Pelodiscus sinensis: one gene and its partners. The protein of the gene in region 4 interacts with the protein of the main gene of each other region in a biochemical or structural test. Links are inferred from orthologs where the notes say so. Each region holds a gene or a part of one and is shown on either strand. Other genes may lie near its edges. The genes, in order: PDE6D, UNC119, TBCD and ARL2.

Evidence for each region.
Region 1: the proteins of ARL2 (region 4) and PDE6D are reported together in a solved structure, tested with the Homo sapiens proteins (2 studies listed by BioGRID and IntAct, with this or other methods). The link is inferred for Pelodiscus sinensis from reciprocal best matches to the Homo sapiens genes ARL2 and PDE6D.
Region 2: the proteins of ARL2 (region 4) and UNC119 form a complex in vitro, tested with the Homo sapiens proteins (2 studies listed by BioGRID and IntAct, with this or other methods). The link is inferred for Pelodiscus sinensis from reciprocal best matches to the Homo sapiens genes ARL2 and UNC119.
Region 3: the proteins of ARL2 (region 4) and TBCD form a complex in vitro, tested with the Homo sapiens proteins (2 studies listed by BioGRID and IntAct). The link is inferred for Pelodiscus sinensis from reciprocal best matches to the Homo sapiens genes ARL2 and TBCD.

The regions. Positions count from the first base shown.
Region 1 is NC_134720.1:49,904,121-49,911,186, reverse strand, and holds the start of PDE6D (retinal rod rhodopsin-sensitive cGMP 3',5'-cyclic phosphodiesterase subunit delta), read right to left. Parts: upstream 3,006-7,066; 5' UTR 2,838-3,005; coding exon 2,788-2,837; intron 1-2,787. UniProt on the Homo sapiens protein: Promotes the release of prenylated target proteins from cellular membranes. Modulates the activity of prenylated or palmitoylated Ras family members by regulating their subcellular location.
Region 2 is NC_134731.1:101,853-109,745, forward strand, and holds the start of UNC119 (protein unc-119 homolog A), read left to right. Parts: upstream 1-4,880; 5' UTR 4,881-4,977; coding exon 4,978-5,143; intron 5,144-7,893. UniProt on the Homo sapiens protein: Involved in synaptic functions in photoreceptor cells, the signal transduction in immune cells as a Src family kinase activator, endosome recycling, the uptake of bacteria and endocytosis, protein trafficking in sensory neurons and as lipid-binding chaperone with specificity for a diverse subset of myristoylated proteins.
Region 3 is NC_134730.1:5,553,271-5,561,021, forward strand, and holds the start of TBCD (tubulin-specific chaperone D), read right to left. Parts: upstream 3,004-7,751; 5' UTR 2,848-3,003; exon of another isoform or gene 2,761-2,847; intron 1,472-2,760; 5' UTR 1,446-1,471; coding exon 1,253-1,445; intron 1-1,252.
Region 4 is NC_134721.1:34,795,702-34,803,290, forward strand, and holds the start of ARL2 (ADP-ribosylation factor-like protein 2), read right to left. Parts: upstream 3,004-7,589; 5' UTR 2,941-3,003; coding exon 2,813-2,940; intron 2,201-2,812; coding exon 2,090-2,200; intron 1,011-2,089; coding exon 848-1,010; intron 402-847; coding exon 321-401; intron 1-320. UniProt on the Homo sapiens protein: Small GTP-binding protein which cycles between an inactive GDP-bound and an active GTP-bound form, and the rate of cycling is regulated by guanine nucleotide exchange factors (GEF) and GTPase-activating proteins (GAP).

The DNA of each region.
Region 1 (7,066 bases), on a different chromosome or scaffold from region 4:
CAGCAGCCTTACAAATGAAGTCTAAATCATGCTTCTTTAAGTATTTAAATGATGTTTTCTAATGAATCAAAAGACATCACTTTCCATGTGATACTTGCTTTTTGTCAATTCCTCCATCAGGGCTCAATTTCTATACTATTCCAAGACCCTGTCATTTTGAAGGAGCAAATGAAACTGAACTTATGTTGCTCCCAAATGATGGTGCTCAGCATTGTCATTAAGCTACTAAGATGGGCCATAATGTGTGTTAAAATTAATTACATTAGTCCTACACTGGTCTACTGGAAACTATTTAATTTCACATTTGCATATGCAGTGGTAGTATAGCTATGTCAGTCCTAGGAATTAGAGGGAGTGAAGGTGGGTGAAGTAATAACTTTTATTGGATTAACTTCTTTCACCAACAGAAGTTGCTCCAATAAAAGATATTGCCTTGCCTACACTATCTCTGAGGGTAAGTCTACACGACAGTGCTATTTTGAAATAATTTAGTCTGCATCTACACAAGCAGGCAGTTATTTCAAAAGAATGTCAAAATACTGTCAAACTGAAGGGTTTCTTACTCCTACTCCTGTAACCCTCATTGTACGAGGCATAAGGGAATAGAATCACAGAATCACAGGAAGAGACCTCGGGAGGTCATTGAGTCCAGCCCCTTGCCCAAAGCAGGAACAATCCCAACTAAATCAACCCAGCCAGGGCTTTGTCAAGCTGAGACTTAAAAACCTCTAGGGATGGAGATTCCACCACTTCCCTAGGTAATCCATTCCAGTACACTTCACCACCCTCCTAGTGAAATAGTTTTTCTTAATATCCAACCTAGACCTTCTCCATGAAGGAAAAAGTTCTATGTAGATGCTCCCAATTTTAAAATATGCTACACATAGCTCAATTTGTGTAGCCTTATTTCAAGTTAAAACCTGCGTAACCTAGGTCAAAGGCTCATGTTAGTACAGACAAGGCCTCCATGTAAATGAGCATAGTTCATCAAACTCATTGAGCATGAGTCTGGTTTATACCAATACCCTTTTATTCCACTATGGCAGTTTTACACTCACTTCACATTGCCAGAGCAAAATACAAATAAGTGATAAAAGCTGCTTCTCACCATTGAAGTAAAACTAGTTCTAGGTGTTTAATGCTGTACAGATGCACCCTTACATTTGCACAACATCTTCCCTTGCTAAAACTGAAAAAGTTTATTATTTTAATCAACTATACACAGGGATTGTATCCGTCCCATCCATCACTGAAATATAGCTGCTGCTTAAGTTTCCTAGCCCGCAAATGCTGGAGGGCCAAATAAAAACTAGCAGCTGGAGTTTATGCCCTGTGCACGTCTGAGGTCTTGAGCTAGTGGGAAATGAAGACTCTAGCTTGTTAGCTTAAATTTGTCAAAAGTTTAATCTTCTCTAATAGCCTGAACATCTCAGCCTTGGTAACAATATTCTTGACAACTGAAACATGACAGCTGCATGTACAAGGAAGAACTTCCAATGCTGCTACTCCAGAAAAAATATTTTTAAGACTGACTGGATACAGGGGGATCACTGCTAAAAAGAGGGGGGGGGAAATACCATACTTTCACAGGGAGAAACATCTGCTCACACTTTCAGATGGTAGCTAGTTGATTAAATCCTACATAGAACAGCTCAGAACATCATTCCACAGCTGTTAGAGATTATATACAAACTGATGCAGCAAAAATCTCAGCAAGCAAAATAACCAAAAATACTACAGTACCACAGTAGACACTACTACTTTTGCTCTCTTGAATTTGATCAGTAACTACAGTTTCCCCTAGCGTCCAGACCAAGACCAGCACCTTCCTACTTTACATTCATTACACTGAAAAATGAAAGGCTGGGTCTTTTAAAATAAACTTACCCTATTTCTCCTACTCCTTTCACACATGTACTCCTTTTTAATGGAATCTTTCCACCCTTTACTAAAATCCTGGGTAGGCGAGGAATCCAGGATTTCAATTCTCCTTCTTGCCTTAGGTTTCACTTCTTGCTCAGTTAAACAAAGCACATACAAATTTAAGATGAGCATCAGCGGGCCCCATGGAAGGGCAATGTATACCATGTTAGTGATTACACACAACAAGCACTCTAGATAGCAAGCTGTACCACATCCCACTGCCTGATAGGCAAAAGAGGGGGGGATTTTTGGGTCAACCAAAGGAACAAGGTAGCTACTTATCTACACCTCTTTTGGACTTTGAAGTTAGGCGTTTCCCTGCCAAGCAGAGGTGGATCCTTAAGTTGCAGCCACTATTCAGAGCGTAAGGCTGGGAAAGAAGGGATAGGACTGCGGTGAGAGGCAGTGATCATCCGCGTCTCAGGACTTTGCCCACACAGACACACCTGCCTACTTTTCATTCCCTCGCCCAAGCTCTGCTTCCCGAGCAAAAATGAAACCACAACCCTGGAGCACCAGGCACGGCTGCTCGCCAGCTGCCCTACCTGCTGTCCAGCAGCAGCCACGCCTGGACAGCTCCCGCGAGCGGATCAACTCGGCAGGGATGGGGGGTCCGGGGGGACGGCGGGTCCCGCCGCGCAGCGGGAGACGCGGGACGGCGCAGCCGCTGCCCCCCCCCCCCCCCACAGGTGTAACCCGGCACGGAGCCTGGCGGGCCCCCCCGCAGTTGGCCGGGGGGGGGGGGGCAGCGGATCTGCGCCCCGCTCCTCAGCACGCGCCGGGCTCGGTGACAGCACCGGGGGGGGGGGCCCTGCTCGCCGCCCCTCCCCCCCCGAACCGGCCCCTCCCCCGCCCGGCGGATACAGCTTGAATCCCCTCAGGATCTCCTTGGCCCGCTCGTCCTTGGTCGACATGGTCCCGCGGCGGCTCCGCTCCGCGCCCCGGAGCCGGGCGGGGGGGAGGGGGGCTGGGCGCGCTCACGGGCCTCACCGGGACAGCGACCGCGGCGCTCGGGACGCTGCACCCGCCACCGTCCGACACCCCCAACCAGAGCGGACCGGAGCCGCCCCGCCCCTGGGAGCGCCGGCCAATCGCCGCGCCCCGCGCCACCGCGCCCCGCCCCCTCGCTCCCGACCGACAGCGCCCGCAGCCAATCAGGCAGCGCCGTCTGCGGCGCGCAGGAAGGGAGGCTGCGCGGCGGTCGCTAAGGGGCACGTCCCAGCAAACTGACGTCGCCGAGAGACGGAGGCGGGAGCCAGGAGCGGAGCTGCAGCTGCGGGTCTCGGCCACAAGGGGCGCTGCCGCGCAATTGCGCATGCGCCGCTGAGGGTGCTTCGCTGCGCCCCCTGCCGGCGGCAGCATTGGCTGCAGGGGCAGGGAGCCCCCATCCTTAGGACCTGGCACACTTGGGCAACCCCACCCCCCAGCAGCTATAGGAGTAAAACAGCTGGCTGTGGCCCCCAGCACCACCACCCCTTGCACTGGGCCTCCTGCTGCAAAGGGCGAGTGCTTCCGCCTGCAGTCCCCCCTCGAAGGGCTAACCATCCGACATCCCAACATGGGCCAGAGAGCAACTCGCATATCCTGGTCAGCCTGTACCCCATAATGTTCCCTAGGGTGTGATGTCAGCCTTGCCTGCCTGCTCCCTCCCCTGTATGTAGCTGCACCCCGACTGGGTATAGTGCATGGTCCCAGCTGGGGCACTGAGACCACTTGCAGAGAGAATAATGAGTCTGCTCTACAGCCTTAGCTGAGATCCAACTGACTTTTAGCTCAAGTGCTAGAGCAGGGGAGGGCAGGGGCGTCCCATGAACCTAGGCAAACTAGGCAATAGCCTAGACCGACGCTGGCCGGGGCGCCCCATGATTACGTCACGGCCATTGACGGCAGTGCAGGCGGGGCCGCTGATCGCGCCTTCCGCCTAGGGCGCCAGCTGCCACAGCCGGCCTCAGGCCACTCCTGGGGGTGGGCAAAAGGGCCTCCGTGGGCCAGATCCGGCCCACCGAGTGGGTTGATCTGGCCCACGGAGGCCCTGCCGCTTCCCCCACCCCCAGGCCAATTAGGACCTGGGTGTGGGGAAATGCGAAGCTTCCTCCCACCCTGGCAGGACCATGCAGCGCTTTGAAGCACCATGCGCTCCTTGCAGAGTGGGAGGAGACATCACGTGCTCCCCCGCCTCCAAGTGCTGCTTGGCCTGGGGGTGGGAGGAGTGCGCAAAGTTTCCTCTGCCCTCCCCTCGTCCTGCAGCACTTCAAAGTGCCATGCACTCCTCGCAGGGTGGGAGGGAGCTTCGCACACTTCCCCACCCCTAGGCTCTGATTGGCCTGGGGTTGGGGGAGCATGCAACGCCTCTTCCCGCCCTGCCAGGGGCATGGGTGCCTAATGGGAAGGGGGGCAAAGGGGTTCCCCCACCCCGAGACCAATCATGGTCTGGGGCTGGGGTAGCCCAGAAGCATCCTGGCCCCACCAAAAATTATTGCCTCCCCCCCTTGTGCTAGAGGTTAATGCACTAAGCTCCAGAGGTCGCAAGTACAGTTCCGCTTGCAGCATTTCACAGTCAGGCCCTATGCCCGTGGATGGACATAGAATCATAGACCACTAGGCCTGGAAGGGAGCTTGAGAGGACAGCGAGTCCAGTCCCCTGCCCTCACAGCCGGACTCAACACCATCTAGACCAGACATGTCAAACAGGCGGCTGGAGGGCCACATGCAGCCAGATCGAAGTTTTTTGTGGCCCACCACTACATTTTATAAAAGGATAAAGTGCGGCCTGCTGGCTGCTCGGAGCACATGGCCAAGTGCAGATCACACACGGTCAGCCGCTCTACACACGGCACCGCAGCAACTGCTCGCGGCCAGCTGGGCTGCTCTGCTCACGGTCCCCAGCACGTGCTCCTGGCTGGCCGGGCTGCTCTGCGCAGGCTTCAAGTGCCTGCTCACAGCTGGCCGCTGTACTCACACCACCCCAGCACCCGAGGAAGAAGTGTGTGGCTAGGGTTGCCAGGTAGACCCCGCCAAAAACCGGCTGGGACGGGGGTGGGGCTGGCCAGGAGGGGGGCGGGACGGGAAGCAGAGCTGGCGGGGGGGGGGGGGGGGTCTGGGGGCCGTGGGGCTCGCCGGGAGAAAGGGGGGAGCTGGGAAGCAGAGCGGGGGGGATCGGGGGCCACGGGACTGGACGGAAGGAGAGGGAGGCCCAGAGGAAGGGGGGCGGGAAGCAGAGCTGGTGGGGGGGACGGGGTGCAGCCACTGGCCACAGCCGGAGTCCTTCGGGCCGCGGCCCCGGCAGGCACTCCCTCTAGTTGCGGGGGCGGGGGTAGGGGGAAGGCCTGCGAGTCACTCCCCCCGCCCGGCTTCTGCACACAACCAGAGGCTCCCAGCTGGGAATCGGGGCTGCAATTGGTGCTGGGAGCCTCTGGTCACGTGCAAAAGCTGGGCGGGAAGAGTGGCTGGGACCAGCCACTGCCTCCGCCCCGCCCAGCGTTTGCACGTGACCACAGGGCTACCAGAGCCAATCACGGCCCCGCCTCCCAGTCGCTCCTCCGCCCCCACCAGGCTTCCCTCCAGCGCCCAGCAGGGAACTCAGAAAATACCGGACATTGTACGTGTCCAGTATTTTCAGAATTTTTCTACCAGTCAGAGGGTACAAATACTGGACTGTCCTGGCAACCCTATGTGTGGTGGGCAGCTCCGGGACCCAGGCATTAGGTTGGGGAGGCTGGGAGTGCCTGGCTCTGGGGGAAGGGGGAGGCATTAGGTGGGAGGGGGCTGGGAGTGCCTGGCTCAGGGGGAGGGGAGAGGCATTGGACCACAGACCTTTAGCTCTTCCCCTTGTACAAGCATACAATTCAGTGTTAATTGCATGGTGTCACATACTGTTTCTCAAATAATATGATAGCATGCAGTTTTTTTCCACCAAATGGAATGGAATCAAGAGTACTGTAATATATACACACACAAGGGGCTGATTTGTGGTTCCCAGTTTAATTTTCATATGCCCTGAGTTTAAAATACCTAACTGTACTGTGTTAATATTTGTCATATGATTTCCTTGGAATGTAGGCATTGCCAGATCAGCCAATGGGACCCTCTAGTCTAGTCCAGTATTGTAACTACAAAAGTGGCCAATACAAGATGTGTCATAGGATGGGGTATGTGTGTGCTCGCACATGTCCACAAGAAATGATAGTGGGCAGTTATCTCCAGATAGGAAATGTTTCTTCTTCACTCCTATCAGTTTGTGCTGGCTTATGACCTGAAACAGAGTGGGTTTTAATCTGTTTTTTATCCTACCTATGGTTATTTTAATGTTTTCATTATCAATAAGCCTTCATTCTTTTAAAAGTCTAACAATCTTTTGACCTCACTGCTATTAAATGGCAGTGAGTTCCACAGATGAATTGGGAAAAAAAGTTTCCTTTTATTATTTTTTTGTCATGTTTTGGCTGTTTGCTCATCAATTCCCACTTTGCATACCTGATATATGATGAACCAGAGGCTCAATAGATTGTCTAGGAGTGATGTTTTGTGGCAAGGGACTAGGGCCGTGAAGGAGGAAAGCCCGAGACTTAAATGTACTTAACCAATTACAAACTTTATTGACTACAATTTGATTATATTCAATTACTGTCTCTGATTTGTTTAAGACAACGTAGCATGCAAATAAAACATACATTAAAGAAATTCAATACAAAAATAATAAGCTGATGAATAATATATTAAGCAATACTTACAAACCCAGTGACAATTATGATACACAGACAAAAACAACGCGTAGCATGCTCCGGATTCGTACACCCTTTCGTGATTCGGTGGGTGGGAGGCGGCCTTGGGTGATCAACCCCTTAGCCAGGCTGGACGATACGTTTCCTCTATCTTGATACGGAACCTCCCCGAACTTAGGGCTCAGGGTGCTTTATACTATAATTTTAACATCCGGTACCATATTAGGGTTATTTGATATTTTGTGGTACTGTGTACATATCAGGGTTCCTTCCTTGTGATATGACGTCTGATTGTGGTCAGTGCCTGATGCAGACATGATTGGCACACGTGAAAGCTAGCTATGTTTTTTGTTTCCCTGCTCCAGGTGCTTCTTAACTGATGTATATGACAGCTCATGTCTCTTATTCCTATCTTGTCCTGT
Region 2 (7,893 bases), on a different chromosome or scaffold from region 4:
CCCAGGCATAGCATCTGTTAGCATCGACATCTGTTGGGAAACCTATACGGCAGTACACAGGCAATCCAGGAAGTTTTTGGAGAATGTTGGGGATAACTACTTGACGCAAGTGCTGAAGGATCCGACCAGGGGCCGTGCGCAGCTTGACCTGCTCACAAACAGGGAAGAACTAATAGGGGAAGGGGAGGTGGGTGACAACCTGGGAAGCAGTGATCATGAGATGGTAGATTTCAGGATTCTGACCAAAGGAAGAAAAGAGAGTAGTAAAATACACACCTTGGACTTCAAAAAAGCAGATTTTGACTCCCTCAGAGATCTGATGGGCAGAATCCCTTGGGATGCTAACATGAAGGGGAAAGGAGTCCAAGAGACCTGGCAGTATTTTAAAGAAGCCTTATTGAAGGCACAGAAAGAAACCATCCCGACGCGTAGCAAGAGAGGCAAACGTGGTAGGAGACCGGATTGGCTTACAGGGGAAATCCTTGGTGAACTTAAGCACAAAAAGGAAGCTTACAAAAAGTGGAAACTTGGACAAATGACCAGGGAGGAGTTTAAATGTCTAGCTCGAGAATGCCGGGGGGTTATCAGGAAGGCAAAAGCGCAAACGGAATTGTGATTGGCTAAGGATGGGAAGGATAACAAGAAAGGTTTCTACAGGCATGTTAAGAAGAAGAAGGTGATCAGAGAGAGTGTGGGGCCCCTACTGGATGAAGGAGGTAACCTAGTGACAGATGATGTGGGGAAAGCTGAAGTACTCAATGCTTTCTTTGCCTCTGTATTCATGGACAAGGTTGGCTCCTGGACTTCTGCGCTAAGTGACGCAAGATGGGATGAAGATGGACAGCCCTTGGTGGGTAAAGAACAGGTTAGGAACTATTTAGAAAAGCTAAACATACACAAATCCATGGGCCCAGATTTAATGCATCCGAGGGTACTGAGGGGTTTGGCAAATGTCATTGCGGAGCCTTTGGCCATTATCTTTGAAAAGTCGTGGAGATCGGGAGAAATCCCGGATTCGAAAAAGGCAAATGTAGTGCCCATCTTCAAAAAAAGGAAGAAGGACAATCCAGGGAACTATAGGCCGGTCAGTCTTACCTCGGTTCCTGAAAAAATCATGGAAGGGATCCTTAAGGAATCCATATTGTGGCACTTGGATGAGAGGAAAGTGATTAGGAATAGTTGGCATGGATTTACAAAGGGCAAGTCGTGCCTGACCAATCTGATTAGCTTCAATGATGAGGTAACTGGCTCGGTGGACATGGGGAAGTCAGTGGATGTGATATACCTTGCCTTTAGCAAGGCTTTTGATACAGTCTCCCACAATATTGCCAGCAAGTTAAGGGAATGTGGATTGGATAAATGGACGGTAAAATGGATAGAAAGATGGATAGAAGGCCTGGCCCAGCGGGTAGTAATCAACGGCTCGATGTCAGGATGGTGGTTAGTTTCTAGCGGAGTGCTCCAAGGTTCAGTTCTAGGACCGGTTTTGTTCAATATCTTTATTAATGACCTGGATGAGGGGATGGATTGCACCCTCAGCAAGTTTGCGGATGACACTAAGCTGCGGGGAGAGGTAGATACACTTAAGGGCAGAGATAGGGTCCAGAATGACTTAGACAAATTGGAGGATTGGGCCGCAAGAAATCTGATGAGGTTCAACAAGGACAAGTGTAGAGTCCTGCACTTGGGACGGAAGAATCCCAAGCATAGTTATAAGCTGGGGACCAACCAGTTAAGTAGTAGTTCTGCAGAAAAGGACCTGGGGGTTACTGTGGATGAGAAGCTGGATATGAGTCACCAGTGTGCCCTTGTAGCCAAGAAGGCTAATGGCATATTAGGTTGCATTAAGAGGAGCATTGCCGGAAGATCCAGAGATGTCTTTATTCCCCTTTATTCGGCTTTGGCGAGGCCACATCTGGAGTATTGTGTCCAGTTCTGGGCCCCCCACTACAAAAAGGATGTGGACACACTGGAGAGGGTCCAGCGGAGGGCAACCAAAATGATGAGGGGGCTGGAGCATATGACTTATGAGGAGAGGCTGAGGGAGTTGGGTCTGTTTAGTCTGCAGAAGAGAAGAGTGAGGGGGGATTTGATAGCAGCCTTCAACTTCCTGAAGGGAGGTTCCAAAGAGGATGGAGAGAGGCTGTTCTCAGTAGTGACAGATGGCAGAACAAGGAGCAATGGTCTCAAGTTGTGGTGGGAGAGGTCCAGGTTGGATTTTAGGAAAAACTATTTCACTAGGAGGGTGGTGAAGCACTGGAATGGGTTACCTAGGGAAGTAGTGGAGTCTCCATCCCTAGAGATGTTTAAGTCTCGGCTTGACAAAGCCCTGGCAGGTTGATTTAGTTGGAATTGGTCCCGCATAGAGCAGGGGGCTGGACTTGATGACCTTCTGAGGTCTCTTCCAGCTCTATGATTCTAGGCTGCAAGCTGTCCTCCCTAACTGAGCTGCCTTGAAATGAACAATCAAAGCAGACAGGTCTGAGGCACCAAGCAGTGCTCTTGGCTAGAATCTTATCCTGTGTGGTTTGTAGCATGCAGTCCTCTTGATTGGTCAGTAACTAGATCCATCTCATAACCACTGATTCTGATACCCACTGTGGCCTGCTTCCTTTATCCAGCAGTCTTACCCGAAAAGGGCAGTTGTAGCAGGCAAGATGTCTCAAAACACAGCTGTGGAATCAGAGCCGTCTGGGCTGTTTCCTACCTACGCTACACCAGTGAGGTGTAATGAGGCACCAGGGCTTCAGTCATGGGCAGCAGCTCCTACTGCCCTCTTACCTCCCCTCCCCCATTCCACTACCCCCACCTCAATCCAGCTCCTGCTGTTTCATCCTGATCCCCTTGCCGGCTATGTCTAGACTGGTATGATTTTCTGCAAATGCTTTTAACGGAAAAGTTTTCCGTTAAAAGCATTTGCGGAAAAGAGCATCTAGATTGGCACGGACACTTTTCCGTAAAAGCACTTTTTGCGGAAAAGCGTCCATGCCAATCTAGATGCAGTTTTGCACAAGAAAGCCCTGATCGCCATTTTCGCAGTTGGGGCTTTTTTACGCAAAACAATACCGCATTGTCTACACTGGCCCTCTTGCGCAAATGCTTTTGCGCAAGAGGGCTTTTGCCCGAATGGGAGCAGCATAGCATTTCCGCAAGAACACAGACAATCTTACATGAGATCGTCAGTGTTCTTGCGGAAATTCAAGCGGCCAGTGTAGACAGCTGGCAAGACTTGCCAGTCTAGACGCAACCACCTAGTATTGTTAGCATAACTTGACCTGCTGTACTTACTATTCCTACTGCATGGGGCCTGAAACTCCTAACAGAGTGAAGTTTCAGCTGTCCATTATGTTCCAGGTACAGCCAGTGTTACTTTGAATGAGAAGCAGTGTTGCTGAAAGCCAGCCCCACTTCTGTTTTGGTAATGGAGAAGGCTGGAAGAGGCTGAGAGTTGGATCAGGATGCAGTTGGGTGTATTTCCATTAGTTTGCAGCATTGGGTAGAACTGAACTAACTTCTGCCTGGATTGGCCTAGCAGCAGGATTTGAATGGACTCCTAGCTTCTTGATTCAATTTTGCTGCTGAAAATGAGGATACAGCATGACCTATCACACACTTCAGTGTAGACTGCTAGCAAGTGCTCTTTGAATTGCAACTTGATGCTGCGTGGCCTACACCGTTCCTGAAGTTGCATTATCCAACTCCAGGCACATCCAGTGCAAGGCTAGCTGAACTGGTAAGGTAACCTGTGTGTGCGTGCGCAAACATTGAAGTAGTGTGAAATAAACCTGCAACTGCCTTTGCTTTTCTCTTTAAAATGTGCATTTGCTACTAGTCTGGATTGACAGTAGCCACCTTAATTATGTCTATTAAATCTCCTTAGGAAATGCCTTTCAGTTTGCTATATCTCATTTAAAATAAGGATGTGAGCCAGCATCCTGATGGGTCTAAACAGCTACTTTTCAGAAATAGAAGCATAAGAAATTTCTGGATTAAAAATTCCAGCAGCTCCACACTGCTTAAAGTATTTGGGAAGAGGAGAGGGGTCAGGCAGTGACTGCAAGCTCTATACCAACAACGGGCAGCATAGGCTCTTCATCTCAGTTGGCCACAAGACTTATAATCAAGGTGGTCTTCTGGGGTGGGGTAGTTTTGCTAACTGGAATTTGTGGGGTGTGCCAATTGAACTGGAACAGCACTTTGGATGCAGAGAGCACAGAACTCTCACAGTCAGTGTTGCGTGTGACCAGCCCTCCCTTCCTATGCCCTTGTCACTTTAGTAATAGTGGTAGGGGAAAAAATGACAGAGACAGAAACTAGCATAATCTGACCCTCCGGATGTGGACACTGGTGAATGAAATGTCTCTTAAGCCACACACAGAACCCTGACGGGCTGCATATGGCCCATGGCCTGCAGGTTGCTCACCACTGCTCTAGCCTTTGTCTTGCTCCTGCAGCTGAGTCACAGTCCTCTGAAAACTGGCTTACAGAAGAAGGGGCTATATAGAGGATGGCTGTGAACTGCAGAAAGCCCTTGAACCTCCCGTGTGTATCATCTGCACTTTAGACTGATTCGCAGGCTTCCCCTCTAGCAACCTGACCAGAAAGCCCCTTCCCCACACCCTCTGCCATTTCTGCCCTAGAAGAGTTGGGATGAGGGCAGGCAGTGGGGCGCTGAGTGGAGGGGACTTACAGACTGGCCTGCGGGAAGGCAACCGAGCATGTCTTTCCCTGGCCGCGGTAGCCGGTTTCTGCTGGCTTGGAGGGAAGGCAGCCAGCATCTGGCCGCAGCCCGGCGGGGGCATTGACAGCACCGCGGCTGGGCTGGAGACGGGGCAGACAGGCAGGGTCGGTGGAACTCCCGGCCACTGACGGCGGGGAGGGGCCGCGTGGCCCCACCCGCCGCGGGCGGAGCTAGGCCCGGGCGGATCGGCGGCAGCTGGGCTCTGCCGGCAAAGACGCCGAAGCCGCGGGCGGGGGATGAGTGAGCCCGCCCTCCGCGCCGAGAGTCGCGCGGGCCGGCCGGACAGCGCGGCCATGCGGGTGAAGCGGGGCGGCGGGGCGGCGGGCCCCGAGGAGCAGGAGCTGCTGCGCAAGCCGCTCATCGGCCCCGAGGACGTGCTGGGCTTGCAGAAAATCACGGGCGGTGAGTGCTCGGCCCGGCCTGCCCCTGCAGAGGGGCCCGCCCCCGTGGGCCCCGGCCTGCCCCTTCGCTTCCCCTTCCTCGGGGGTGCCAGTCCCTGCAGGGGGAGGTGTGCCCACCCTGCAGCGGGCTGGCTGGGGCCCTGGGCTTGCATAGGGCTCCTGCCTTGTTTCCAGTCCCTGCAGGGGGAGGTGTGCCCACCCTCCAGCGGGCTGGCTGGGGCCCTGGGGCACGGGGCTTGCATAGGGCTCCTGCCTTGTTTCCAGTCCCTGCAGGGGGAGGTGTGCCCACCCTGCAGCGGGCTGGCTGGGGCCCTGGGGCCCGGGGCTTGCATAGGGCTCCTGCCTTGTTTCCAGTCCCTGCAGGGGGAGGTGTGCCCACCCTGCAGCGGGCTGGCTGGGGCCCTGGGGCACGGGGCTTGCATAGGGCTCCTGCCTTGTTTCCAGTCCCTGCAGGGGGAGGTGTGCCCACCCTGCGGCGGGCTGGCTGGGGCCCTGGGCTTGCATAGGGCTCCTGCCTTGTTTCCAGTCCCTGCAGGGGGAGGTGTGCCCACCCTCCAGCGGGCTGGCTGGGGCCCTGGGGCACGGGGCTTGCATAGGGCTCCTGCCTTGTTTCCAGTCCCTGCAGGGGGAGGTGTGCCCACCCTCCAGCGGGCTGGCTGGGGCCCTGGGGCACGGGGCTTGCATAGGGCTCCTGCCTTGTTACCAGTCCCTGCAGGGGGAGGTGTGCCCACCCTCCAGCGGGCTGGCTGGGGCCCTGGGGCCCGGGGCTTGCATAGGGCTCCTGCCTTGTTTCCAGTCCCTGCAGGGGGAGGTGTGCCCACCCTGCAGCGGGCTGGCTGGGGCCCTGGGCTTGCATAGGGCTCCTGCCTTGTTTCCAGTCCCTGCAGGGGGAGGTGTGCCCACCCTCCAGCGGGCTGGCTGGGGCCCTGGGGCACGGGGCTTGCATAGGGCTCCTGCCTTGTTTCCAGTCCCTGCAGGGGGAGGTGTGCCCACCCTGCAGCGGGCTGGCTGGGGCCCTGGGGCACGGGGCTTGCATAGGGCTCCTGCCTTGTTTCCAGTCCCTGCAGGGGGAGGTGTGCCCACCCTGCAGCGGGCTGGCTGGGGCCCTGGGCTTGCATAGGGCTCCTGCCTTGTTTCCAGTCCCTGCAGGGGGAGGTGTGCCCACCCTCCAGCGGGCTGGCTGGGGCCCTGGGGCACGGGGCTTGCATAGGGCTCCTGCCTTGTTTCCAGTCCCTGCAGGGGGAGGTGTGCCCACCCTCCAGCGGGCTGGCTGGGGCCCTGGGCTTGCATAGGGCTCCTGCCTTGTTTCCAGTCCCCATTTGGCTGGAGTGACCCCTTGTTCCCTAAGGCCTCTGCTAGCCTGGCCCGGCCCTTCCCTCCTGTCTGTGTGCCCAGCAGTCTGTGCCAGGGCAGAGGCCCTGCTTTGCCCAGTTGGGCAAGGGCGGAGGTGGGGGGTACGTCGGAGACCTGCTGAATTTTGTCTGTCCTCTCGCTCCATCTCCCGAAGGCCAGCCCTGCCACTGGGTATTTACTGCATGTGGGCTGTGTCTCTGGGGGCTGCCTGAGGACAAAGGGGTGGCACAGGACAGCACCTTCCCCCGAAGAGGGGGGCATTGATGGTGTAGGCTGAGGAGCTGGTGCTTAAACCCTGAAAATGCAGGGCCAACTAAGTCTCCGAATTCAGAAGCACCCAGCTCCTTCAGCCTTTAGCTTTGTTGTTAGAGGGGACAGCTTCAGTGGGACACAATGTTTCTCTGTCCGTGTGGACAGACTATGGGACAGCTTGAGGTGGTGGCTTTGTGCTGCATGTTCCCTAGCTGATGCCCAGAGACACCTGCCCTGGTCTGAAGTTCAATCTGAAGTTTGTGGCCTGGTTTCCTGTGTTTGCAAGACAGCTATGCATGAGCCAGCCCTGTGGGCAGAGCCCTGGGTGCTGGGGGCAGCACTGAATGGTGATGGCACTTCTTGCCATTGTGCCTGGCTGTGGAGTTGGGGGTGAACAGCATCAACGTAACTCACTGGATGGGGGGAGCTGCAGTGACTTTCCCACCTTCCACTTGGCTTGGGGTGGGGAAGAGGATCAGGGAGAAAAACCATGGTTTGCTAAGCTTGTAACCCAGGATTGTTCCTTAAAATAGTTTCGCGTGGGGTTTTCTGTGCCTTCTAAATCGCTTTGTGATTCTGCCATAGTCTGTTCTTAAACTCCTCTTCTGTTCAGCTGGCTTTGCTGAGAGCCCACATGCCCTATGTTGGTCACTGCTGCAAGAGGAGGGGCAGGTTATGGCTGTGGAAGAGAGTCTTTGCTCTCTGAGCTTCTCTTCCTCCATGCACAAAGTATCCATGGAGCTGCTGGTCTCTACTGGGGACTTTGCGCAGAGGGCAGGAGAATGCCTCCAGGTGACCCCTTGTGCTGTGTAGGTTCAAAGGGGGAACCAGTCCTTTGGAGGCTAGTCACTGTGGGGTAACACATCTGAGTTATTAGCCCTGCTGATTGATGAGGAACAGGCTGTTGTGCTTTCCAGCCGTGTGCCTCTAGCATGTTGCAATGGGACTTGGGGGTTCAAGTCTTTCTGGCCTCTGCTGATCACAGAAGTACCAAGAACGTAAGAACGGCCAGGTTGGGTCAGATCACCTGTCCATCTAGCCCAGTATCCTGTTGGCCAACAGCGGCCAATACCAGATGCCCCAGAGGGAGGGAACACCACAGGTAATCCTCACGTGATTCCTCCCATGTCACCCATCTCCTGAGAA
Region 3 (7,751 bases), on a different chromosome or scaffold from region 4:
CGCCAGTTCCGACTTACATACAAATTCAACTTAAGAACAAACATACAGTCCCTATCTTGTACGTAACCCGGGGACTGCCTGTACACCAAAGTTCAAAAGAACTAGTGAAAATGTGCTAAAACATAATTACATTAATTTTGTAGCTTACTGTCTCATCCCCTAAAAATTACAGTCTAGGATGGCTGTGCTTATAGGTGAAAAAAAATATACAGGACATGGATGACAAAATAACTATATATCAGAAATAACATAAATACAACCACATTATGTCAAAACAAAGATCCATCTAGCCCAGTATCCTGTCTTCCAACAGTGGTCAATGACAGATGCCCCAAATGGAATGAACAGAACAGGAAATCATCAAGTGATCCATTCTCTCATTCCCAGCTTCTGGGAAACAGTGATTAGGGACACCATCCCTGCCCATATGGCTAACAGGAATGTAAAATCCCTTTTAGCTGGTTAAACATAACACTAACACTGCATTTAACCATTGAACCAATTAAAGTGGTGTGGGTGGGGGGGCTGCCACCATGGTGGCTGCGCCACCCCCGTTGCAGGGGCTGCTAGCTCAGCTCATGGCTGGGCCACAGGCTGGGGCTGCTCCCAAGTACCAGTTAACCATTACCCGGTTACATCCCTAATATACCAGAGCATACCCAGTAAAGATCACCTGTTAAGCTTAAGTTACTTTGTTAATAGTCACATAGGAGGCAAATGAATGAACTGATGTAACAACTCATATCTTCCAACTCCAAGACCTGTACTTTAACAGCTAGATGGCAATACTTCATTTCATTACACCAATAATCAAACAGCAGCATTACAAGGACAGGAACTAAAATAGATCTGCTTCCTGATTGCATTGACTTCACTAGGACTAGGACCGAGCCCAAGGATAGATAATTCACCCTTAAAGTCAATTATTAAAAATGTATCTAAACCTACTGCTTGTTCATTCTGGAATGGTTTCCTTGATATTTTATGACAGCTCAGACAGCCAAGATCTTCCACTATCACGACTAATAAGCTTGATATGAATAATAAGCTTGGAATGCCATAAGGGCAGGGGACTGGATTTGATGACCTCTCAAGGTTCCTTCCGGTTCTAGTATCTATGATTCTATAATAAAACTAATCTTCCTCAGAGCAAAAATTGGTCTAAAACATTAGTTTACCCTCTGTTCTTTAGCAGTATTTCAACTATAATAAAAAATATACCCCCTAAAGGTTGTACATCCTCAGACCTTACCTATGAATTTTTCAGTTGTCACCTCTCGTGTTCCCTGATCCCCATACACCCCTCTCAGGTTGTTAATTAACCCTCTGATTTCTTGACTCTCTGTGAAACTCTCCAATATATTTCCACTGGCAATGACATCTGGCTCCTGGCATCCGCTTTGCTCCTCTTCTGAGCCATCGCCTTCCATCTCACTCAATGCCATTTCCAAAACCAGCAATCAATTCTTCCCTGGTAACATAAGAACAAACAATACTTCAACCCCACATCACACATCAGGTAGAGTAAGATGAAAGAATAATCACCACAACCAAATCAACACCCCACACCAGGATACGGAGGAGGACTAATAGAGGGGCCACCATGACCCCAAAAATCCAATATAGGGGGCAGGATTGAAAGAGAAGTCTCCATACATTGGAATTTAACAGAGGTCACAAACTCATCACCCATGGGCCATCTACAGCTACAGCTTTTTCACATTCTGGCTTGGGAGTCTGTGTGGCCCAAAGAAGGCATGTCCCATAAACCCTATCCCCATCCCAATTCCATCCCTTCCCTTCCAAATCTCTTTCCTAGAGCAATGCAGCCTTGGGGATAAAGATATTAATTATCGGGTAATTGACTACTCGAATAGTTGATGCATATTTTCACTGACTATTCAATTAGTCCAGCAGTTCTCAAACTTTCTGAGCTCTGGAGCCCTTTACATGCATAAAAATTAATGCAGAGCCCTAGCTGTCTTGTATGTGTTGTACCTATCGATGTTTCCAGTTTGTCAACCTCACAGAGCCCCAGGGCTCTGCAGAGCACAGTTTGAGAAACACTGGGTTAGTCGATAAGGCACCTCCACCGTTGAAGCTAGCAGCCCACATAGAGAACGGGGTCAGTGGGGGAGCCTTCAGCTGATCCCGGACTCCACACAGCGCTGCCGGTGGCATTCAAAGTGGCAGCGCTGCGCTGCAAGGAACAGTTGACCCCAGGCTCCATGCGGCGCTTCTGCTTTTAAGTACCCCCCCTCTTCTCCCTGCCCTATTTGATAGAGGCAGCAAGGGAGGAGAGAAGCACCTAACAGACTATCCTGTCGACTAGTCCTTCACATCCCTACTGGGGGGCTCGCCCAGGGCAGTAGCTCCGCTCCGCTCCCCTGCTCTCCAGCAAGCACGGTGAGTACAGAGGGCCCGACCCCTGCTGTGCCCAGTGACAGATCTGCCCCCGCAGTAATTCCAGGAGCCTCATCCCTCGGGGGAGGGGACCTGGCGAAAGGGGTACTATGGGGGAGAGGGCGGGGGGCTGGCGGATGGGGAAAGACCCCCCCCGCTCGCAGGGACTGCCGGGGGGGGGCTGTAGGGGGCCCGCGGGCCGTGTGAGACCCCGCGCCCCAGGTGCCGAGAGCCACTGAATCCAATTGCGCAGACTGGGGTCTGCGTGGAGCCGGGGTGTGGCCGGCAGCTCCAGCGCGCAGCCGGGGCCCAGCATCCCTCAGCCGCGGGAGGGGGCTCGTCAGAGGCGCCACCCACCCGCAGCGGGCTCCCACTCCCGGCCCCGGGCCAGGCAGAGGAAGCTGCATGGACCCCTCACGCGCTCCGAACGCAGGGCCGCATTACCCTGGCAACCGCGGCTCCGCTCCCGGGGGCCTCTGCGCGGATCCCGGCCCAGGCTCAACTCTGCCCGCCCAGCCTGCCGGCTACGGGGCGCCGTGCGGGACAGAACAACGCGGGAACGACGCCGTTCCCGAACGCGGCCTCTCCCTGCAGGGGCGGGGGCGGGGCTCGCAGAGCTCCACGCACAGCCCGGGGGGGGGGATTTTTGTCTCCTCAGCCGCGGGCTTCCCCTTGCCCCGCGGGGGGGCCTGAACGTCTGGTGCCGTTACAGCCTCGCACGGGCGGCGTCCAGGGGCAGGTCCCCGAGTCCTGGGTGCCCGCGCTGAGGTGCCGCGGGGCGCGCTCCCGACGAGCCAGGCAGCCACCTCCCCTTGGAAATCAGCGAGCGGCGCTTGGGGGCTTCGGACGCTCCGGGCCTGCACAGTTCAAAGCTGGGCGCGCACGTGTCCACAGTGCTGGCCCGTACCTGACCCAGAGAGGGCCTGGTCCCCCATTGGCACTCAGCTGTCCTGGCCCGAGGGGGGGCATCTGCCTCGTGTTCTCCCTTTACACCAGGCTGAACAGCTGGCTGATCAGGGAGAACCCTTCTGGGACAGCCCTTCAAAATGGGTATGGGAATGAAGACACCTCGGCTACGTCTACACTGGCGGGTTTTGCGCAAGGGCAGCTGTTCTTATGCAAAAACTTGCCCGTGTCTACACTGCACGTGTGTTCTTGCGCAAATAAATTTACAGTCTAGCGTTGTAAAACAGGGCTTCTTCCGGAAGAGTTATTCCTCTCCCCAGGAGGAATAAGCCCTTGTACACAAGAGCTCTTGCGCAAGAGGGCAGTATAGACAGGCAACATGAATTTCTTGGGCAAGAAACCCCTATGGCTAAAATGGTCATCAGAGCTTTTTTTGCGCAAGAGAGCATCCACACTGCCATGGACACTCTTGTGCAAAAGCACATACCAGTGTAGCCGTGCTGTTGTGGAAGACTTTTTGCATAAGAACTCTTCTGCAAAACAGTTCTTGCACAAGAAGCTGCCAGTGTAGACGTAGCCCTGCTGTATGCAGTGACTGAGCTAATGAAGTCTGACTAATGCTGATACACTCCAGTAAGAATGTAGTGTCTGCCAGCCCCTAATCAACCTACTCATAGAGCTTCCCTATCAAGCCTTAGGGTACGTCTAGACTACATGCCTCTGTCGCCAGAGGCATGTAGATTAGGCTACCCGACAGAGTAAAATGAAGCGGCGATTTAAATAATCGCCGCTTCATTTAAATTTACATGGCTGCCGCGTTGAGCCGACAAACAGCTGATCAGCTGTTTGTCGGCTCAGCGCGATAGTCTGGACGCTCCCCTGCCGACATCAAAGGGAGTTGTCGACAACCCAGGTATGCCTCATCCCAGGAGGCATACCTGGGTTGTCGACAACTCCCTTTGATGTCGGCAGGGGAGCGTCCAGACTATCGCGCTGAGCCGACAAACAGCTGATCAGCTGTTTGTCGGCTCAACGCGGCAGCCATGTAAATTTAAATGAAGCGGCGATTATTTAAATCGCCGCTTCATTTTACTCTGTCGGGTAGCCTAATCTACATGCCTCTGGCGACAGAGGCATGTAGTCTAGACGTACCCTTAGATTAGCTCTGGGTGCATGTGACCTGTTTGCAACACAGAGTATCCAAAATTCACACTAGGATGTCTGTGGTCCCTGGAGAGCAGCCCTATCCAACTCAGCAAATGCAAAACCCTGCTCCTATCAGTAAGCGCTGCACTGAATGTGTCTCAGCCAGACGTCACTCTGCATAGATTGTGAGCAGAATGGCTAGCAAACAATCAGAACATTCCATGGGCTTAAACTGTAGTAAGGGAGAACTAGGTTGGACACTAGGAAAAACTTCCTAACTGTCAGGGTGGTTAAGCACTGGAATAAATTGCCTACGGAGGTTGTGGAATCTCCATCACTGTACATATTTAAGAACAGGTTGGATAGACATCTATCAGGGATGATATAGACTGTGCTTGGTCCTGCCATGAGGGCAGGAGACTGGACTTGATGACTTAGTATTCTAGAAGTCTATGGTTTGGGATTTGTAACAGGTCCCATATGGAGAGAGATTAAAAAGACTTGAACTTTCAGTTTAGAAAAGAGGAGGCTAAGGGAGGATATGATAGAGGTCTATAAAATCATGACTGGTGTGGAAAAAGTGAATAAGGAAAAGTTATTTACTTATTCCCACGATATAAGGACTAGGGGTTGCTAAATGAAATTAATAGGCAGCAGGTTTAAAACAAACAGAAGTTTTTCTTCACTCAGTGCACAGTCAGCCTGTGGAACTCCTTGCCAGAGGATGTTGTGAAGACAAGGACTTTAACAAGTTTCAAAAAAGAACTAGATAGATTCATGAATATTAGGTCCATCAATGGCTCTGAGCCAGGATGGGTAGGAATAGTGTCCCTAGCCTCTGTTTGTGTGGAAATGGATGACAGAAGAGGGATCACATGATGATTCCCTGTTGTGTTCCCTCCCTCTGGGGCAGCTGGCATTGGCCACTGTTGGCAGACAGAATGCTAGGCTAGATGGACCTTTGATCTGACCCAGTATGGCTGTTCTTATGACTGTACTGAGACAGATTGGCTTGTTCTCCTCTGACCCAGAAGGGGAAGACCACTTCTCACCAGACCAATCAGAGGGGCAGGGCCAGAAGTATAAAAAGCAGAGTTGAGGGCTAAGTTGGAACCCAGCCACTGGCAGAGATGCATTCACTGAGGCTATGTCTACACTGGCAGCTTCTTGCGCAAAACAGTTCTTGCGCAAGGAAGAGTTCTTGCGCAAAAAGTCTTCTACAAGAGCGCGTCTACACTGGTATGTGCTTTTGCGCAAGAGATGTGCTTTTGCACAAGAGCATCCATGGCAGTGTGGACGCTCTCTTGCGCAAGAAAGCTCTGATGACCATTTTAGCCATAGGGGTTTCTTGCACAAGAAATTCATGTTTCCGGTCTCCACTGCCCTCTTGCACAAGAGCTCTTGCAAGAAGGTTTATTCCTCCTGGGGAGAGGAATAACTCTACCAGAAGAAGCCCTGTTTTCCGATACTAGACTGTACATTTACTTGCGCAAGAATGCAAGTGCAGTGTAGACACCCGGCAAGTTTTTGTACAAGAACAGCTGTTCTTGCACAAGAAGCTGCCAGTGTAGATGTAGCCTGAGTGTCTGTGCTGGTAGTAGACCTGGAAGAAGCTGATGATTGGTCTGGGCGACCTGGATCCTTGGCCAAACTGAACCCACCCCAAAGGAAGATGCAGACTAGTTTGCATTCCCTGGACTCCTGCTGAACTGACCCTGGAAGAGCTGCTTCTGGTGACATAGGTACCTAGCAACCAAGACACTTCTGTTCCATACACATAGAGGAGGCGTGTGGAGGTGGCCCAAGAATGGTACACTCAGCAGCCTGCAGCGGTGATAGAGTGGCAGGCCTGGATCACTGTTGACTCAATGGCAGACCACTTTGCCACTGGGAGATAGTGGAGTGGGTGGGCCTGTGTCCTGCCTGCCATTCAATCTGTGGGTGGTAGTCTCCTCAGGCAGATAGCCAGAGGCTAATTAAATATGCTGCTGCCCTTCTCTGAACCTGAACTAGAGCCTGGGCCTTAAATATTTGCTGCTTCATCTGCAATCAGATTAAGCTCACTAATTGCGGTGCTGCTCCACTCTAAACCAGAGGCTGAGTTGAACTGAGGCTACTCTGTCTAAATAGGTGACCTCTGTTTCCTATCCTGCTTGCACCTGAGTCTGGGCTATTAACTGATGTTACTTGTCCAACCAGGAGGCAAGCCTGAGGCATACTCTGGACAGAGGATGCTGATTCCCCAGCAACGAACCTCACCCTTGCCATAGTGGGGTAGTGTGACGGCGCGTTGGGGTTCCCCGCCTCCTGCGCCCTCGAAATGGCATGCACAGACTCCACCAACTGGTAGAACAGAGGGAGTTTATTGCCTCTCCAGAATACAGCACAGCACAGATGTCACCAGGTTACAGGGCAGGCCTAGGATGCCTCAGCCCCCCTTGATATGGGGGAGGGGTCTCGGCTTCTAAACCCCCCAGCCTGTTGCTGAGGCTGCTTCCTCCATGCTCCCAGACCCGAACTAAACTAACTCTCCTCCAGCCCTGCCCCCCAGCCAGGGCAGCATCCACCTTCCTTTGTTTCTCCCCATGGGGGGTGGCTGGTCAGACAGGTTTGGAGCCCCCTTTGCATAAGGACCAGACAGCAGAGGTCGCCACAGCCCTAGCAAGGCACTTCCACTACGTCACACTTGCCCAACCAGGAGGCAAGCCTGAGGCATACTCTGGACAGAGGATGCTGATTCCCCAGCAACGAACCTCACCCTTCCCATAGTGGGGTGGGTTGGCTCCCTTCTGACCTGGAAGGGGAATGGAATCCCACCCCAATCAATTACATGATCAGCACTATTGCATGAGCAGTTCCATATTGTCACTGTGGATGTTCAGTGTGTGTTTTAGCACAGAACAAGACCATGGCCAATCCTGAGCCCAGTCATACTCAGTTCTGGAAATGAAACCGTTTTCATACATTCGATGGATGGGAGAGAAGTGTCGTTGGTGCAGATACTAAAAATAGCTGCTACCATGTTACTTTTATGTCAAGAATGTTTCCTTCTTGCTGGCCATCACCTATCCCCAGAAACTCTCCACCACAGTTAATTCCAGCCCAATAGCTCACCCTCCAGCCACTCTTCAGCTCTCTTCCAGGACTATATTCCCATCCCATGTGGTAGGATTGCGAGCTTTGTTCCTGGAGGGTTAGCAACTTCACTCTGTTGCGTGCCCTCCTAGACCCCACCATCCAATCTTGTACTGGCTCTTTTTTGTCATGCCTCTTTGTATTATCAGTCCCACTAATCA
Region 4 (7,589 bases):
TACTCCATTCCCCTTCCAGAGCTGGGAAGAGAAGAGCTGACTCCAGTCCCTCCCCACCCTACCCTACAACCAACAAACCCCACTCCCAGTGGTGCTGGAACACATTTTTTTGGGGGGGAGGGGAGAGGGAGCAGGGGTGCTGAGCAGTGCCCTCACTCTTATCCGTCCATGCCCCTCACTGACCCAGGCTGGGGCCCCTGGGCACAGGACTGGTGCCCTGACATGGGGACAGCAGTGGGGACACTAGGCCCAAAACCCTGTACCTATGTCCATGTCCCTTGACCAAGATCCCTAGTTTGCTTCAGGCCAGTGGCTCTTACCTCACGAATGGCATTGGAAGACAGTGCTCCTGGCAGGTCCTGCTTGTTGGCGAAGATGAGCAAGGTGGCTCCAGCCAGGCGCTGTAGGGAGAGAAGCACAGGCTAAGCTGCATGGCCCAGTTGTCTTGGCCCCACCATTCTCCTGTTAACCCTTCAACCACCCTCCCAGTCAGTTAGCAGTTGGACCACAGTTCTCCTGCTCTGTCCCAGACAGGGATTGTTTTTGAGTCTTGAAAGACCTGGAAACAGGGGGACAAGGATCCTCTCTGCAGCAGAGGCAGGCCCTGCTTCCAGCAGACCTGCACCAAACCAGGCCCCTCTGGCAGCCCAAACCAAAGCCTGGTTCAGCCAGAAGCTGGCCCACCCACCCACAGGATAGTGCCCAAAAAATATACCCCCTCTCCAAGGGACTTCATATAACCTATTGCATATATTCCACCTCCTTTCCCTCACAGGATACATCTGCCCATTCTCCAAGACACTTGGCACACCCTCCTCCCCCTTTCCTCCACAGGTGCAGTTCCCACCTCTTCCACCAGGAGGCTCTGCAACTCCTGCTTGCAGACCTGCAGGCGCTGCTGGTCAGCACTGTCCACCACCCAGATGAGACCATCTGTGCTCTCAAAGTAGTTGCGCCAGTAGGAGCGCAGGGATGTCTGGCCTCCCACATCCCAGATGTTCAGTTTGAAGCTGGGGAACAGAAGAAAAAAGACAGAGTATGGAGGTAAAGGGACAATCAGGCAAGATCCCAGTATGTAATATGGAACAGGCATCCTGGACGAAGGAGGGGATGTTTCTTCTGTATCTGGCTGGCTGTGAGAAGACCAAACCTTCCTGGCTCCAAATTCCTTAAGAACCACAGAAAGTGAGCAAGGGGCTGAGCTGGTGATTTGGAGAACCTCATCTTGCTTTAGGTAAGCCTGTGGGGGCAGAAGAACCACACCCCCATAATCCAAAGGGTTAAGCTCAAGGGGGAGCAGGAACTGTGAGGTATCTCTGTACAGAACTTGGAGTAAAGAATACAGAACTGGCTGGAGACCAGAGTTTATTAGGCAGTGAAATCAAGGGTGTGGTATAGAATCACAGAACTGTAGGGTTGGAAAGGCCCTTGAAAAGTCATCAAGTCCAGCCCCTTGCACTGTTGGTAGGCCCCCAGCAAACCTATACCATTCCAGACAGGTGTTTGGCCAACCTCTTTTTTAAAAAGTTCCATTGGTGGTGATTTCCCAACCTCCCTTGGAAGCCTATTCCACAGTTTAACTACTCTTATAGTTAGAAAAAAATGTTGTAATATCAAACTTAACTCTCCCTTGCTTCAGATTAAGCCTGTTGCTTCTTGTTATCCATGTCCACTGAAGGCAAGACAACTGATGATGGTCCTCTTTAAAGCAGCCCTTAACAGAGCTGGACACAGTATTCCAGAGTACAGTGGAACCATTACCTCTTTTGAATTACATACACCACTCCTGTTAATACACCCCAGAATAATATTAGGCCTTTTACACCTGCATCACATTTTAACTCAATTTGTATTATTCAATTTATTTGATTATTCAATTTGTAATCCACTGAAACCTCAAGATCCTTTTCCACAGTGCTACTGCCAGTGGCTAAGGGGATTTGAAACTAGGTCTGGGCAGAGGTTGAGGGTTTGCAGTCTGGGGAGAGGGCAAGGATCAGACTTAGAAGGGACAATCCTGTTCAAGGGATGGATGGGAGGGGCAGGTTTTGGGCCCATGGATGGATCAGACACTCTGCCCGGCGCTCACTCCCTGTGCTCCAGGGTTTTGATGTTGAAGCCCAGTGTGGGTGAGATGGTGTCGATATCCTCCCCGTTGAACTTCTTCAGGATGGTGGTTTTGCCAGCATTGTCCAGACCACTGTGGAAAATGTGTCAAGGAGAAGGCAGCTCAGTACATGGGGGAGGTGGGACATTCGTGTCACAGCTGGATGGTGGCTCAACCCATAAAAAAGAAACTCCTAGTAAACTCCCCCATCCATCACCCTTTGGTACACTCCTCTTTGTATTCACTGAATACAGGACAGCTGGTACATCCCACCCCCCTACCCACAACATAGAGAACCTACCCAGGACACTTGGTAGAGCCCAGATCAGATACATCCCTTCCTCTCAAACCCTTGGTATAGCCCAGGCTCTCCCACCCCTACCCCCAACCCTTGGTACAGCCCAGATCCCAGGCCCACAAGACACCCCCCCAACCTTTTGTGCAGCCTAGCCCCCAGCCCCACAGGTTACACCCCTCCACAATACTTGGTACAGTCCAATCCCACAGGGCACACCCCTCCCCCAGCCCTTGGTACAGCCCAACCCCCCAGCCCCACAGGATACACCTCTCCCCCGACCCTTGGTATAGCCCCATTGGAAACCCGCCTCCCACAAAATCTTGGTACAACCATCGCCGCTCGCACTTAAAAGCCCCTTTTATCCTGCAACGTTTGGTACAGCCCACCCTCCCCTTGCACAAGGATACAGCATGAGAAGCCGCAGTTCCCGCTCCTTCTGTCGCATCTTCTTCAGGATAGTCAGCAGCCCCATCACCAGCAAACCAGCCGCCTCTTCCGCCCCGTCCGGCACCGGCTTCCCACAACCAGCGTCCATTGGGCTACGTCGCCGCCAATCATCATGGATCTGATCACTATTGGGTACACTCACTACAAGTCCCGCCCTTGCCGAAAACCAACGAGAGCAAGCCCTGCCACCAGGAGAAATACTCACTGGGCTAGATTTTCCCACGTCGCCACCTAGGCGTCGGGACTGAAATCACAGATGCTAACCCCAGGAATCACAGAGAGGGCGGACCATCGGCTGGCCCACAGCGTCACCTACGGGCGGAGAGTGGTACTACAACCCCTCAAAGGGGTTCATTTACAAGTCGGTAGGGAAAACTAGCCAAGCTAAAAATGGGACAGTTGGATGGGACCCCTTCGAAGCCAGGTGACCAGCCAAGGGTGAAAGCAAACTGCTGCTGTGGGGGCTGTGAGAGACTGTAGGTGGAAGAATCAGCTAAGCAGCAGTGCACCCCCAACAGCCAGGCTAGCAGCTACTGGCCCTGACCCCACCAGCTGGGTTCCTGCCATCTCTGCAGGCAGCACAGATCCCAGTGCAGGAGAGAAGATGCACTGGGGGCTTGGCCATGTCTGGGCCCAGTTTGTCATAGCACAGGTTTGTGTTTATTTTGATGCAGATTCTGGAGATAGAGCTAAGAGCAAACCGGCCATCCTTATTGAAAGCAAGGCCTCCTGCACACCAGATCCCTTAAGACAGGCAATGGCACCTTTGTTTTCACCGGTGTTAATGTCTCCCATGTTACTGAAGATTGACTTTCCGCAATCACAGCTCAGAGCTTCTGTGCACATTACACTGGGGGTAAGGACTGCTATGGGGTGCTGATTCTGCAAAGCACCCATTACTTGCATAGCTGGTGGATGATATACTATGTTTAGATTAGGGATGTTAAGGAATAGTCGACCAGATAGAGGCAGCAAAGGAGGTACTTCAAAGCAGCAGCACTGCACAGCTGATCCCGGCTCCATGCTGCGCTGCCACTTTGAAATGCACAAGAGCTCCCACTGGGGACTCTTGTACATTTCACAGCTGGCATGCTGCCTGCAGCCCCGGAATTCCACATTCCTCCTTTGAAATGTACAAGAGCCCCAGCGGGGGGCTCTTGTACATTTCAAAGGAAAAACGCAAAAAGTGCCTATTGACTAGTCGATGGAAATTCCATTGATTACTTGACTAGTAAATTAACGGTTACTTAACATCCTTAGTTTAGCTATCTATTACTGAAAGGAGAGGGTGCTGCAACAGCTGCAAAGCACCTAGCTGGTGCTATGCAATGTGTGCAAATGCTTCTGCATCTCTCTACTAGAAGTGCTGCAGCACAACCAGGCAGCTATTGAAGGTGGTGAGCAGAGAAACACAAATTCAGTACAAGTAACCAACAGCAGGGAGATGTGCAGCCATTCTTCACTTCACTGTCACCGCCAAGTCTCCCTTGCCTATAGAACAGACTGAACTATTTGATCAGTGAGAAAACTGGTGTCACCATTCTGGGACTGAATGTCATACTAGCAGGTGATAGTGGAGTATGACCTCTGGAGAGCAAAGTCCCCTTTACCTGAGCAAATGAGCAAACACCCTCTGCCTACCTCCACAGGGTCCAACCCTCAGGAGTAAGAGAGAAACCGGTCCTTCAACCCTGCACAGGAGTGAGCCTGGAGAGAGGGGACACTTTTGCTTTCCTAAGGGGAATGAGGCTACTGGCAACTAAAGTAAACAATGTTGTAGGAAATAGTATCTAGGAGGGCACTGACTTTATTAATCACCAATAAGCTTTTGGGAGAAGTTATTTCTCTATTCAACTCGTCCCAGGTAGCAATGAGATCACATTGCTCTCCTCAAAAGACGAAGGGCCCGACTGTTGTTTGCTTCAGTTTGTTCCATTACGACTGTCAGCTGGGAGAGGGAAACTGGCAAATATAGGACAACCCCCAGTGATCATAGTGATAGTGGTAAAAAGGCACCCGAGGCTGCTATAGCTTACTCCCCTTCTTGTAGAGCAGCAATGGGCAACCTAGGCTAGTGTGGGGGCCATTCAGGCCCTCCATCTCAATGGGCCACAAGATTGTTGTACCCAGGATGGTCTCCTGGGCTACGGTAGTTTTGCTAACTGTGCTTGTGTACCTCGTGTGCTGATTGAACCGTAACAGCGCTTTGATTATATACATATCGCTTTAGTAATACCAGTAGGAAAAAAGCTAGGCAGACAGAACTTAGCGGACAACCCCATGAATGAAAAACTGTAAAGAAAAATATCTTGTGAGCCACACACAGAACCCGATGAGCAACATGCGGCCCCAAGGTCACAGGTTATCCACCACTGCTGTAGGGAACAGCTCAGAACTGCTATACCTCTCTGACTGCATCCAACTGGAGGAGTGCAGCATGGTACTGCTTTAAATAGGCCAAAACCAGTCCTTTTGTATGTAATTTGTTGAAAGTGGACCCAATCCTGTGTCCCACAAGCTTCTAACCCCCTTGGGTCTGAGAAGAGACTAGTCCCTGTTGCTGGGTCTCTAGGGTGCAGCCTGGCTACTCTCGGCCCCAAAAGCAGTGCAGCAGTCACTAGTTGCTTACACCTCTTCCTCCCACATGCCCACACCCATCTAGCTACAGGGGCTTCTAGCTTAAAGAACAATGTGAAAGGAACACAGGTTTAGTAGAGGGAGTTCTTTGTTGCCCCAGACACACACAACCCACCAGTGGAGTTATATCTCTTTGCAAAGTAACAGGTACCAGATATGCCACCTGTCAGATCTCAATTCTGAGAGTCTGAGGTGAGCACCAAGTTTCAGGCTAGGCCTGTACAAGGCCCCTATCCTCTATGGCATTCAGGTTCCATTACCTTCAATGGAAGTTATGGGCTGAAATACCTTTGAGGATCTGGGCCTAAGGCACCTTTACTCTCTGCTTTAACAATGTAATTTACACCCACTACATGATCCCTTTACTGGAGGGGGCAAAGGAGCTATGGTGTGAGAATCTGGCTGTAGCAGTTTGATGTGAGAACACCCTTTTGCCTGGCTGGTTTCATTCCACCAGAGCTATCCCACTCTTTTCCCCTAATAGCACACACATCTCAGCTCAGTGCTGGGAAGGATTCCTGCTGTCGGGCTCTATTAAGGAGCTGCAAGTACTTTGAAGAGAAAATGAGGAATAGGGAAGGTCATTAGAGGCAGATCCCATTCTAGGACCACACCCATAGCCTGGGAACTGTGTTTCCCCATTAGGAGAGCCTGTGTGGCCTAGGGGGGTAATTCACTGGACTAGGGCTCTGGAGAGTGGGGTTCTCTGCCACAGACCTCCTGGGTGACCCTGGGCAAGTCACATTCCTTCTTTGTGCTTCAGAGTCCCCTGAATGAGTGATGATTCTGACCTGCTTCATAAAGTGATCTGAGATCTGCTAAGAGCCAGGTATTGCCATCATCTGGGTGCCTTAAAGCCTCCCCTCCTTTCCCCCTCCCCATTGTGAGGCAGGGATGTGCTATTATCCCCATTGTACAGATGGTGGAGCCCAAATGACCTGCCCAAGGTCACACCAGCAGTCTGCAGCAGAGCTAGGAATTAAACCCAGTTGTTTCTAACTCCTGGGCTGTTGTCCAACCCCCGAAGCAAGCAGCCCCACCACTTGCTCTGTGTGCAAAGTGGGAGGGGAGGGATGGTTCCTTCAGCAGCCTGAGATCAGCGGGGAGAAGATGTCAGGGTCTGTGGCTGCTCAAAGAGAAGCCCCTACGCAAAGCCAGCAGGTCATCTTCATTGACTGGCAGGGAACCAGGGACTGAGGCAGAAACAAAATAATCAGCAGCCAGCCCAATTGCTACTTAAACAAGGATGTTTATTAGTCACAAACCTTGTCCCTAGAGCCTCTGCCTTTGTGATGCTCTACCAGCTGCCACCCACCAGTCCCAGAGCCCCACGCTGAGCAACACATTTCACTCAAGCCCAGTTTGGGCTTCAGCTGAGGGCTGGAGCCAGGGTTCAGAGATACAGAAGAAGCCAGCTGCTCTCAGAGATGCTAGGGCTTCACAGAGAGGGCTGCCCTTGGTGTTGAAGGAGTTCCAGTGCTAAAGATCAGGGGAGCTTGGCATTAGCTAACAATGCAGTTCTGGGTTCACACACAGCTCTTCGGGTGCTCCTCAGTCCTGGCTTGCAGCCGCATGCATTCCCAGGCTGGGCTCCACTCCCTCCCCCCCCCAGCTCTGCCAATGCCCCTTAATCCCAACCCGACTCCCCCTCTCCATGGTTCTATCAATGGCCTTCTCAATCCTGACCCACAATCCTCTGGGTTCTCCTCCCAGATCTGCCAATCCCCCTCAATACCTACCACAGCCCTCCTGCTACCCTACCTTGGAGCTCCTCTCACACAGCAGCCAATGCCCCCCCCCCCAACTCCCACTCATGTCCTGCACCCTCCACTTCTGAGTCTCTTCCTAGGCTTCTCCTCAGCTGACACTGCCAATCTGGCTAGCGGCGGGGATGGTTTAGTCCACTGGGGAGTAGCAAAATAAATTCAAACCTGTCTCATGTAATTCACAAGGTCAAGTTTAACACAGCTCTCTGAACATGGGAGGCTTTATAGTTACTGCTGCTCAGAGTCCCCTAGACAGGGTAACATATTCCCCTGCTCCAGCCTACAAAGCACCAAATGCTAGTTTTTTTACCCTGGCTCTTGGCCTCCTCACACA